Coturnix japonica: one gene and its partners. The protein of the gene in region 3 purifies or fractionates together with the protein of the main gene of each other region. This does not show direct contact. Links are inferred from orthologs where the notes say so. Each region holds a gene or a part of one and is shown on either strand. Other genes may lie near its edges. The genes, in order: LIN7C, CASK and ARHGEF26.

What was found.
Region 1: the proteins of ARHGEF26 (region 3) and LIN7C purify together in Homo sapiens (affinity purification with mass spectrometry; 3 studies listed by BioGRID and IntAct, counting the BioPlex papers as one, with this or other methods). This does not show direct contact. The link is inferred for Coturnix japonica from reciprocal best matches to the Homo sapiens genes ARHGEF26 and LIN7C.
Region 2: the proteins of ARHGEF26 (region 3) and CASK purify together in Homo sapiens (affinity purification with mass spectrometry; 3 studies listed by BioGRID and IntAct, with this or other methods). This does not show direct contact. The link is inferred for Coturnix japonica from reciprocal best matches to the Homo sapiens genes ARHGEF26 and CASK.

Annotation. Positions count from the first base shown.
Region 1 is NC_029520.1:3,029,766-3,033,421, forward strand, and holds part of LIN7C (protein lin-7 homolog C), read right to left. Parts: intron 2,158-3,656; coding exon 2,039-2,157; intron 1,020-2,038; coding exon 948-1,019; intron 609-947; coding exon 399-608; intron 1-398. UniProt on the Homo sapiens protein: Plays a role in establishing and maintaining the asymmetric distribution of channels and receptors at the plasma membrane of polarized cells.
Region 2 is NC_029516.1:100,936,145-100,938,724, reverse strand, and holds the end of CASK (peripheral plasma membrane protein CASK), read right to left. Parts: intron 2,083-2,580; coding exon 1,906-2,082; 3' UTR 628-1,905; downstream 1-627. UniProt on the Homo sapiens protein: Multidomain scaffolding Mg(2+)-independent protein kinase that catalyzes the phosphotransfer from ATP to proteins such as NRXN1, and plays a role in synaptic transmembrane protein anchoring and ion channel trafficking.
Region 3 is NC_029524.1:20,648,581-20,652,236, reverse strand, and holds part of ARHGEF26 (rho guanine nucleotide exchange factor 26), read left to right. Parts: intron 1-398; coding exon 399-473; intron 474-1,623; coding exon 1,624-1,713; intron 1,714-3,547; coding exon 3,548-3,656. UniProt on the Homo sapiens protein: Activates RhoG GTPase by promoting the exchange of GDP by GTP. Required for the formation of membrane ruffles during macropinocytosis. Required for the formation of cup-like structures during trans-endothelial migration of leukocytes.

The DNA of each region.
Region 1 (3,656 bases), on a different chromosome or scaffold from region 3:
CAGTCTACCATCATGCATTATAATTTACTACTTACCTTTGAAGCTGCAGAAAACTAAGTTAAAACCTGCATCATCAAATTGGATAAAACAGGAAGCCATAATGGTAGTTCAATACTATTTCAGAACAAGACCTACCAGATTTATACAACTTTTCAGAATTTGAAACGTTGACATAAATAGTACCCATCCCAGTTGAAAAATGTAACCAAAGCATAATCCAAGAACTCTCACTGCACAGAACTAGGTTCAGAAACCTAAGGAAGATGTTCTTGAGAGGACAATAAGAAGCAGTTTTGCTAGGATCGAAAGACAACCTCAAGCTTGTGCCACGAATATTCTACGTATGCCCCCAAGTGGAGACAAGTAGTTACTGCTATAGAAAGTGAAAAAATTCCTACCACTCCGTTTACAGAAAGGAGCTGGTCTCCACGTTTCAGGCCTCCGTGCCTATCAGCTATACCACCAGGGATAATTCGGGAGATATAGATGGGAGAATTTTGTTCTTTGCCTCCCATGATGTTGAATCCAAGACCTTCTTCGGTTTTTGGCAGTTCAACCACTCTGGGATGCGAATGACCTTCACTAGCAGCAAATGCAGCTACAGTGGCCTGTAAAAAATAAGATCTTGCTATTTACACGACTACAAACTCCTCAGCTTGACACAGTGAGCAGGCTGAAAAATTAGTTTCATCTTAAAGTGCTAAAATATTAAGAATAATCAGATCAATTTCTTAAACAACATCGGGATTAAAAAAAAAATTAGAACTCAACGAAGACAATATAAGTGGAAAAAACTTTTAAAAAATGTCTTTTGTTATCCCTTTTAATGACCTCATATGTTTATCTATTTGACCAAACATCTAGATAATACATTTCTGGATTTTAAATACCTTTCCTCTGCTTCTAAAGTAACAAATTAACACATTTTACTCAAGTTTGGCGTTTACCTTCGCTGTTGCATTAGCTCTCACTTCTGGGCTACTGCTGATATCCACAGTTTCATATACGTGTTCGTACACCTTTAAAGATAAGACAACTTAAGCACGGTGAAAAGAGTTATTTTTCTGCTTAGGTAACATAACAATCAGTTACAACTTAAAACTGCATACATGAAAAAAACCAAACCAAACACCTTTAGCAAATGACTCCCTGATTCACTGCAAGGTGCCAAGTAAAGTATCTACCATACTATGAAGAAACAACTCTCTCAATATCTTTACTGCTCAGATAAGCCACACACATTCTAGGTCTCAACCCAAATCCTCTCACTCAGTAAGTATACAGACCTCACCACAACATCTGACAGCAGATGTGGGTGACTAACTTCTCATATTTGATTTAATTGGACTTTTCCATAAGGGTGCATGAAAAATTATGCAAGGGTGGATCTTCAAAGCTCACCCAACAATCAAATCTGTATTTCCCTTCACCTGATGCAACCAACTGAATACATAATGAAAATAAAGGCTATTGAAAACACAAAGGCCATAAGAATACTAATGCTAACTGGGTTAGTGGTAGCTAACACAACAAACGCAGTCCTTCATAAGATGAAAACATCAAGAGGACTTCCACGTCCACAAACAGATCTTGCAAATTGTTGCAGGTGTTATCAGCAGTGGTAGCACCATCACCGCCACCAACAGGAGGATGCATTCAATCATCTCAAATTACTGAAAGAGCATCAGGAACGAAGATGAGGTGTGCAAAGCTATGATGCCAATCTAGCTTAAAAGAAAAGGCAATTTATACTTTGCCCGTTCTTACCAGCCAACAGGATAACAGGGCACTACCTGCCAGCAAGGCAGCTAGATAACCTCCAAATAACCTCCAAGAAGTAATTTGTTTATCAGATACTGTTTAATACAACACACCTATAGTACCCCTAAACTGTTTTCTTCTCAACTTGTAAAAAATAAGCCGTCTTCTATAAAGCTCCATAAGTCAAATTCAGTTTTTTGAAGTTCAGTGCATTAACACTTCCACTTTTCAAGGTACCACTTTTAATGCAAGCTAATTGCTTACACAGTTAACTTACCTCCCTTACAGCATTACAGAATTCACTCTGAAGGACCCTTTGCAAAGCCTGTAGTTTCTGCGGTGGCACTTCTCCACTTCTCTGTAATTTTTCCAGCAATTCAATTGCTCTGCAGATATCTACAGAAAAAAACAAAAATGAAGTGTTCATTATGAGCAATGCCTGAAAAGATCCTACTGGTGGCTTTGTTTGCTTTTGCTTTTTAAACAAAGTTAATGCGGTAGCACTGTTTTGTATGCATAAAACTCCGTAATTTATGTAATGTATGGCTATCATTTTGTCAAAGCAATCTATAGTATCACCAAGCAAACTAACATACCTTTTACATTCAAAAACTAGTTTACCAGAAATACACCCAATGTTTTCCCTACAAAAAAGGCTGACTTGGGCATGAGTAGTCTGTAATTATATTAATTGGATGCCAAACAGCAGCTGGAATGGTAAAAACTTGATTAAACCTCATAGCAGTTTGAAAATACTTTCTTACTTCCTCCACCTACAATGTGCCTGATGTATCAAAGCGCTAGGAAAAAGAACCCAAATTCCTCCACGATCTCTGCTGAGTGTTCTGTAGTAAAGATCCCCAAACTCAACATTTTTTCCTCATTTCTTGACATGTCCTGAAAGACCAAAACTATCAGTGAAACCAAAATTTCATCTGAAGAATTTGATTTCAGACCAGTACCGAGCAAGATGGGCATCAAACATGGCATCAAAGCTATGCGGCGTTCTGCAGGCAGCTCTTCAAGAGTAGCAAGGATTAATATTCCTCACTTACATTTCTAGAGTGACCATTCTTCTGAATCACGTTAAGTCCATGAATAGCAGTAGAACAGTCTCTCAGAAAAGCAGGTAGACATTATGATCTTCGTTATCAGAAAGGCAGACAGAAGCAGTGATTAATCTACCGCATAAATAAGGCATAGATCATTCTAGAAGATGAAGTCTGGAGCATGATTATGTCCTAAATACATTACTTCCTCTTTTCCATAATTAACCTTCAGGGAATCATTTTTCACGTGGAACATCTTCTGTGCTGCTGTAATGCCACTAAATAGACAAGCAGCCACCACAAACTTCAAGACCAATGTCTATCTTGTTACACTCCGAAATTGAGGTGCACTGACAGAAGACAACCCACAGTTCATGCTGCCCACTTCTGTAAGGCATCAGTTAGATATCTCGCAGACACTCATAGCAGCCGCTAGAGTCATTTAAAGATGGTATGATGTAACTTCTTGAACTGGTCATCCACCAGCACAGTTAAAGCTGTGTTTGTATCACAGACAGGATGTAAATCACTCATGGAACAGCACCCGAATATTACAGTTGCAGTCGCACGCATTGCTTCAGATGAGAGCTCAAGTTCATCCTCACTATTTAGGAAGCATTTTCAATTTGTTAAGAGGATCAGGTATCTAAGCAAATACGCATCACATTTGAAACCCCGGCTATTGCTAACTCCAAGTCTGCTGTGTTTGCTGCATACTTGCAATCTGTACAAAAATTACAGAATGAAAAAAATGCTTTTGATTTCCCAACACACATTTGGCATTGAATTTGGCTCACAAAACGTTTGGTGAAATGAAAGACAGCAGAGGTGTGATTGTTCATTTCT
Region 2 (2,580 bases), on a different chromosome or scaffold from region 3:
GAAACACACTGCCTGGTTTGGCTGGAGCCTCACAAGAGGAATAGATTTGGCCACCTGACCTGCAGGAGTAGGCAGGAGAAAATAAGCAGCTTTTGCATTTGATGATTATTGCCCCGATAATAAAGTGAGAATATTTTCTGATGACAGAAAAATTCTGATTACAGGAAATGTGGTCCCACACAACTGAACCAGCCTACGGATAATTATGGCTCACAGTTCAACTTAAGGACAAATCATTTGAGAACACGTAAATGCTGAACTTCATACTATAAAACAGCGCAGCCAACAGAGCTTTTAACACAAACCGTGCTAAGGAACACTTCTGACATCTAGAAAGAAGCTGTAATGCTTGCTTCTGTTATGTATTTGCAGGAAAAACATAAACCATCTGGGCCAGTGAGGGCATGAAGAAAGGAAACAAAACATAAGGTTGGCACATTTAATTACTTTTTCTTCCTTGGCTCTGCTCTGATTCTAAGCTGTGCTTGGAAAGGCCCAGCAGAGCCCCTGAGCTTCTCCGCCACGGCCTTCACTGAACAGACGTCAAGAAATCTCTTCTCGCTGCAAGAAGCACTGATTTGTTCTTGGAACTCCCTGCGATGAAATGAAGGACCCAAAAACATTTGGTTGTTGAACACATAAAAGGAAGTATATTTAAAATAAAAAAACTTGGTCAGACTGTAGCGTCAATTACCATTTTGAAGGAATTTACAGGGCTGTTTTCGATGAGTCTTTTGGAATAGTCAAGTTTATCGCAATGCCTAAACTGGTTTCTTCATTGCACAGTATTTTCTTTTAAAATGTGTGCATTTTTAAACAATTACATACATATTAAAAATCAGCATTTCTTTGCTTAAACTTAATTAAAACGTTAATACTCTCAGACGACACAGATCTGAAATGGTGAAACCAGTAATTGCCCCCTCCCACCTTACAACAAATTAAATTGAGACAAAATTACAAACACATTTCACTACATGATTATTATTAATAAAAATCGGTTTTTCTTTTTTTTTTTTCCTTTTTTTTTTGTATAAAGTTGCCCAAAATGCAAGGGATGTGCATAGGTTTACAACTTAAGTCAGAATAATATTTCACTTTATTCCCTTGGGTACGTTTTCCCATGAACGGAATGTACTTTGCTGTAGATTACAGTTTTTTTTTCAACACAGATACACCAACGGCATGAACGCTTGCGACTGTCCACATGCATTAAGAGTCAAGACCCAATTTCAGATTTCTAAAAGAAGTTTTACAGAGTTCTTCAAAGAGACAGTATCACATTATCTGGATGTTACACAAAAGTATTTAAAAACGCTACCCTAAAAAACAAACAAACAAACAACAACAACAACAAAAAAAGAGCGAAGAAAGGCCTTTAAGATTGATGAATTTGTTTGGTAACCGCTAGACTGATTATTTCAAATAAATAAAGGAAAGTATTCCGATCCATAAAATCAGACTCTAAAAAGAATGTAGTGTTCCACCCCCAAGTTAAGGTAACAGAATCATATTATTATTACTATTAAAATAGATTATAGAAAGCAGCATCTATTTTGTGCAGTTTTTAGGGGCCCTTGAAATAAAAAGCTATTATTTCCAAAAATATAACATTCCAAAGGACTGAATAATACATACATTTAAAGATACACTTTATTAAATTTTAGGAGAAATGATTAAAAAAAAAAAAAAAAAGATACTGTCTCTTTAAATTAGTGTTTAATTTTTTTTTCCCCCTCCTCTTATCTATTAGGACATGACAATAATTATAAATTTAGGTCACACTACATCTAGGTAGTCTCTAGGGGCCAAGACCTGCTGACACAAGGTCAATAACGAAGAGGTTTCCCATGTATGAGGTGGTTCCCAGTAACGCCAGGCTTTTTCAATGATCTCGCGAGCGGCCTAATAGACCCAGGAGACTGGCACCCACTGCGACGCTGTACAAACGAGCTCAATGGCTTCCTCCAGGTGCCTGATTGTTTCATCGATTTCATTGTTGATAATTGTTAGGTCAAAGTAGTGTGCATATGTTCTCTGTAAGATTTCAGACTCCTTTTGCAGGCGCTGAAGAGATTCATCCTAGTCAATGATGAGAAAAGGAAATGGGAGAGGTAAGTTGGATCGTTTCCTTTACTTCTATGGCAGCTTTCTAGCTGTTGCTTACAGAGAAGAAAGCAGGCAAAAAAAGCTTAAGTGGTCTAGAGACCCTGCCTAATTCCCTAGAAATTACAAGGAAGAAATTACACAGTTTCTGTCTTGAAGCTGACATTCAAATACAAGTCATTTACTGACGTTACGTGAGACAAAAGACAAGTCTAGAACTAAAAAGGCAAGGATGAAAGCTAATAAAAGCAGCACAGACATGGAACTAAAAAGACCATACGTGAGTTAAACAAACAAAGTGCACAAATTCAAGCTACGTGGCCTATGTCCAGGGAAGAGAACAAGAAACAGGATAGGGTATTTTGTTAAATATCAGCTGTTCCCAGTTTTGGTAACAATTCACTGTTCAACATCAGTCTTCTGGGGTTTACTTTCTTTAACCACCCTTTGCCGATGAGGAAGTTCTCACTCCAT
Region 3 (3,656 bases):
TGGGTGATCCCACTGCCTGTACCAGGTACGGGGCTGTAAGTACTGACAGCTCGGCTTAGCATGAAGCGCAGAAGCGTTTATTTGGTTGTGCAGTGGAAAATTAAATACTTATTTAATACTTACTGAAGTCCAATCAAAAAGGATCTGCAGTAGAATTGCTTCTGAAACCAAGAAGAAACCTGGCACAGAAGTTTCACAGGCTGTTAGGATAAAAATTAATTAATTAGTATCATTTCATGCATCCGTATGTCCATGGTGTTCTCTCATTTAGCACATTTGTCCATAAGTTCCCTGGTGGTGCTTCAGCTCTTTGATTACCATTAATTGCTATGCAAATGTCTCTATTTGCTACAGTTGGTGCTTTTTAGTTCTCTGAAGTAGTGGATGTTTTCTTTCAGACAATTTGTCAGAAAACTCCTAAAGATTCACCAAAATATGAGAACTGCAAGCAGGCCCTGAAAGAAGTAAGCAAGGTATGTCTGGAAATACAAGACTTTCAAGCAGAGCATTGTGGTATGAAAAGAAAAGGAGGAATCTCAGGGTTGTCAGTTTTTTGCCTTCAAGATCTCAGTTTGAGAAAGCATAACACATCACAGACTGTTATTAAGTGTGATGTATTGAGCATCATTAGAAACTAAGAATAATTGAAAGGGAACTTCCTCTCCCTGTGAGGGCTGGATGTGGCCGTGGGCGCTGAACGTTGCTGTGTAAGGGAGAGCAGTGAAGGATATAAAAACTTTGAACTGTCTTAATTGAAATCAATCCACAGTGGCCTTTCTCTTGGCTAAATTACTGTCTTTTTCTTACTTAAGAAGATATCCTGCACTCGGGAACACTGTGCTGTTGCCAACACAATTATTTTTTTCCATAGGAACAGTAAATGGTTTGTGAAGTGTTTGATTTTAAAAGGAGACAAGGCTTATTAACTGTGGGAAGACCTGCATGATATTTATGGAGTTGAAGGGAATGTGATTTGATGCCCTTCTGACTGCACCTGTGAGCACACATGACTCTTCTCCCATGTGCAGGCTTCAGTAAGGCTATGGTGTGTGCTTTGAGATTGTGTTCTAAATGTCAGCCACGATGAAACCATCCCTGGGGTAGTTTCATAGAGTCAGAGAATGGCTTGGGTGGAAAAGGACCTTAAGGATCAACTGATTTCAGTGCCTCTGCTGTGGGCAGGGTTGCCAATCCCTAGACCAGTTTGCCTGAGTTTAACAAGGTGGCACTGGAGTATTTGTACTGTGACTTTCGTCTATGAAAGAGTTGCATGTGTGTGCAGCACCGATTGTCAGGCTGGAAAGATGGCTTCTGTGGGGCAGGGCACTCATTTGGATCAGTGAGTAAGAGAAGTAGTAATTATAGTATTATTAGTGTGGGTTGAAAGGGGCATCGGGAGGTCGTCCAGTCCAGCCCCAGAGCAGAACCATCTCTCAGCTCTGACCAGGTCACTCCGTGGTGCATTCAGCCTGGTGCTGAAAGCACTGTGACCATCCCTGAATGTGAAAATGTCAGATCCTTTGTAAACACTTCACGGAAGTGCACTGTGTGAAGGAACAGGGGTTACTGGTATCACACATGGTGGGGACGTGAAATACACTCGGTAAATGTCTTGTTTTTCAGTTGGTGCGTTTGTGCAACGAAGGTGCTCGAAAAATGGAAAGGACAGAAATGTTGTACACAATTAACTCCCAGCTGGAATTTAAAATCAAGGTATGATTAAATCAAGGAACAAAAACCATTTACCATAGGAGGAGCTTTGACTGCATGTTCTTATGATAGCTTCATTGCCAGCACAAAGTAAACTGGGGCAAAGTAAACCTGATGCAACTTCTCAGTTAATGGGAAGTCAAATTCATATTCTAAGGTAGCTGAAGCTTTGGAAACTTGAAGAGTAACTGAGGACTGCTGCTCCTTTAGCGAGGTCTGTTAAGCTTCAAGGTGAGACTTTTAAGGAAATAGGGTATGAGAACATGCTTTTTTAAAATAATGAAGTAGCATTAATTACTGAAGAATGAATGCCCAGACTCTGGGTTTAGCTCTGTGGATGGAAGTGTGTTTAAGTGGTCAGTCTTGTTCTGGGTAAGTCCTGTCTCCAGAAGGATATTTCTCAAGTTGTCCAAAGTATTTACATACTAAAAATGAGAATAACATTTACTTAACAAGAATAAAGGAAACATCTCCTAAGTGACACCACAGCATCTGCTAACACTGGTGGATAATAGTCTCAGGTAGTTGCATAACTGAAAATAGAGTTTTAAATAGTTTGACTGCATTGTGTCATTGGCTTCCCACATTCCTTCCCAGTTTTCTGACCTGCAGAAGAACGTGGCAGGTTTTAAATGCCTTTAAATTGTTTTTCTGCTGGCAGGGGTTGGGATATGGATCTGACCTTGCAGGAGCTATAGGCCCTGTGTGATCCTTGCAGTGTGCTTGCTGGGACTGGCAGCTCTTGCTGATTTCATGACAATAACAGAACTTTATCTTCTTTTTCTGTATTCTTTATGCAAGTTTTTTTTCCCTCCGTGCCTCTTAAATGCAACCACTGAGTGGTTTAGACTTCTTTTGTTGGAGCAGGTGCCAGCTGGAATGCTTGCCGGATTGTTTTGGCCAAGTTTCAGCACATTTTAAGTTCTGATGGCTTATTTTACATAGAAAGGAGGTGAAATATGCATTGTAGTCTTTTGGCAATTAAGGGAAAATTAATATTAAAGTAAACACAGGATGCCTCTGGAATACAGTCAGCCAGGAAAATCTGATGAACTCATTTGGAATAGAGATTAGAGGGCTTTTTTAGTTCATACTCTAGAAATCTTCAGAGTAGCTTTTATCTGAAGAACAATGATGATGATTCCGTTCTATAACCATTATAAACCAGGTGGACTATTTCTGTTCTTTTCTCATGAAGCATTTTGTAATTCTCACTTTCTTTGGTGTGACTGTAGAGCATTACATAGGAGTACGAGAGAAGCTGCTAAAACCCACATCACTTCTGTACATGGCTGAGGATACAAATCAGCCTGAGGCAAGACTGAAGTTGAAGGCTTCTTTAATTTGTAATGATTTGTAAGGGTTCCAAAGGACTGCTGCACTGCTGGTCTAACTGAGGGCTGCTGGAGGAGCCCTCTGCACTGTGAGGAGCTGAGTGCCATGGGCAGCCCAGCAGGCAGGGACAGCCAGCCATAATTGCGTCCTGTCCATGTCCGTGTTCACTGTGTGAGGGAAGGAGCTGCTGCCAGTGCTGAACAAGCAGTTCTCCTCTTCTTAGGGCATCAGTTCCACCCTGAAGTGCGAGCAGTCAAATCTGCTCATTTTTACCCTAGATGAGCAATTAGGTCATGAATATGAGACTTCTCAAGTATTTGCAGGCTGTTACTTGTGGACTGTGTGGATGATAAAGATGCTTTAGAACTCCTAATTTCTGTGCTTTGAGTTTTTTCAAGTGGGTTTTGTTTTTCCAAATATTTAAGACTGTTACCTGATCTTGAAAAAGGAGGGGAAATAAGCTACTTTTAAAGGATTGAAATGTTATTTTCTTGTTTTTTAGCCATTTCCTTTGGTTTCTTCTTCGCGGTGGTTGGTGAAAAGGGGCGAGTTAACAGCGTATGTAGAAGACACGGGACTTTTCTCCAAAAGGACTTGCAAGCAGCAGGTGT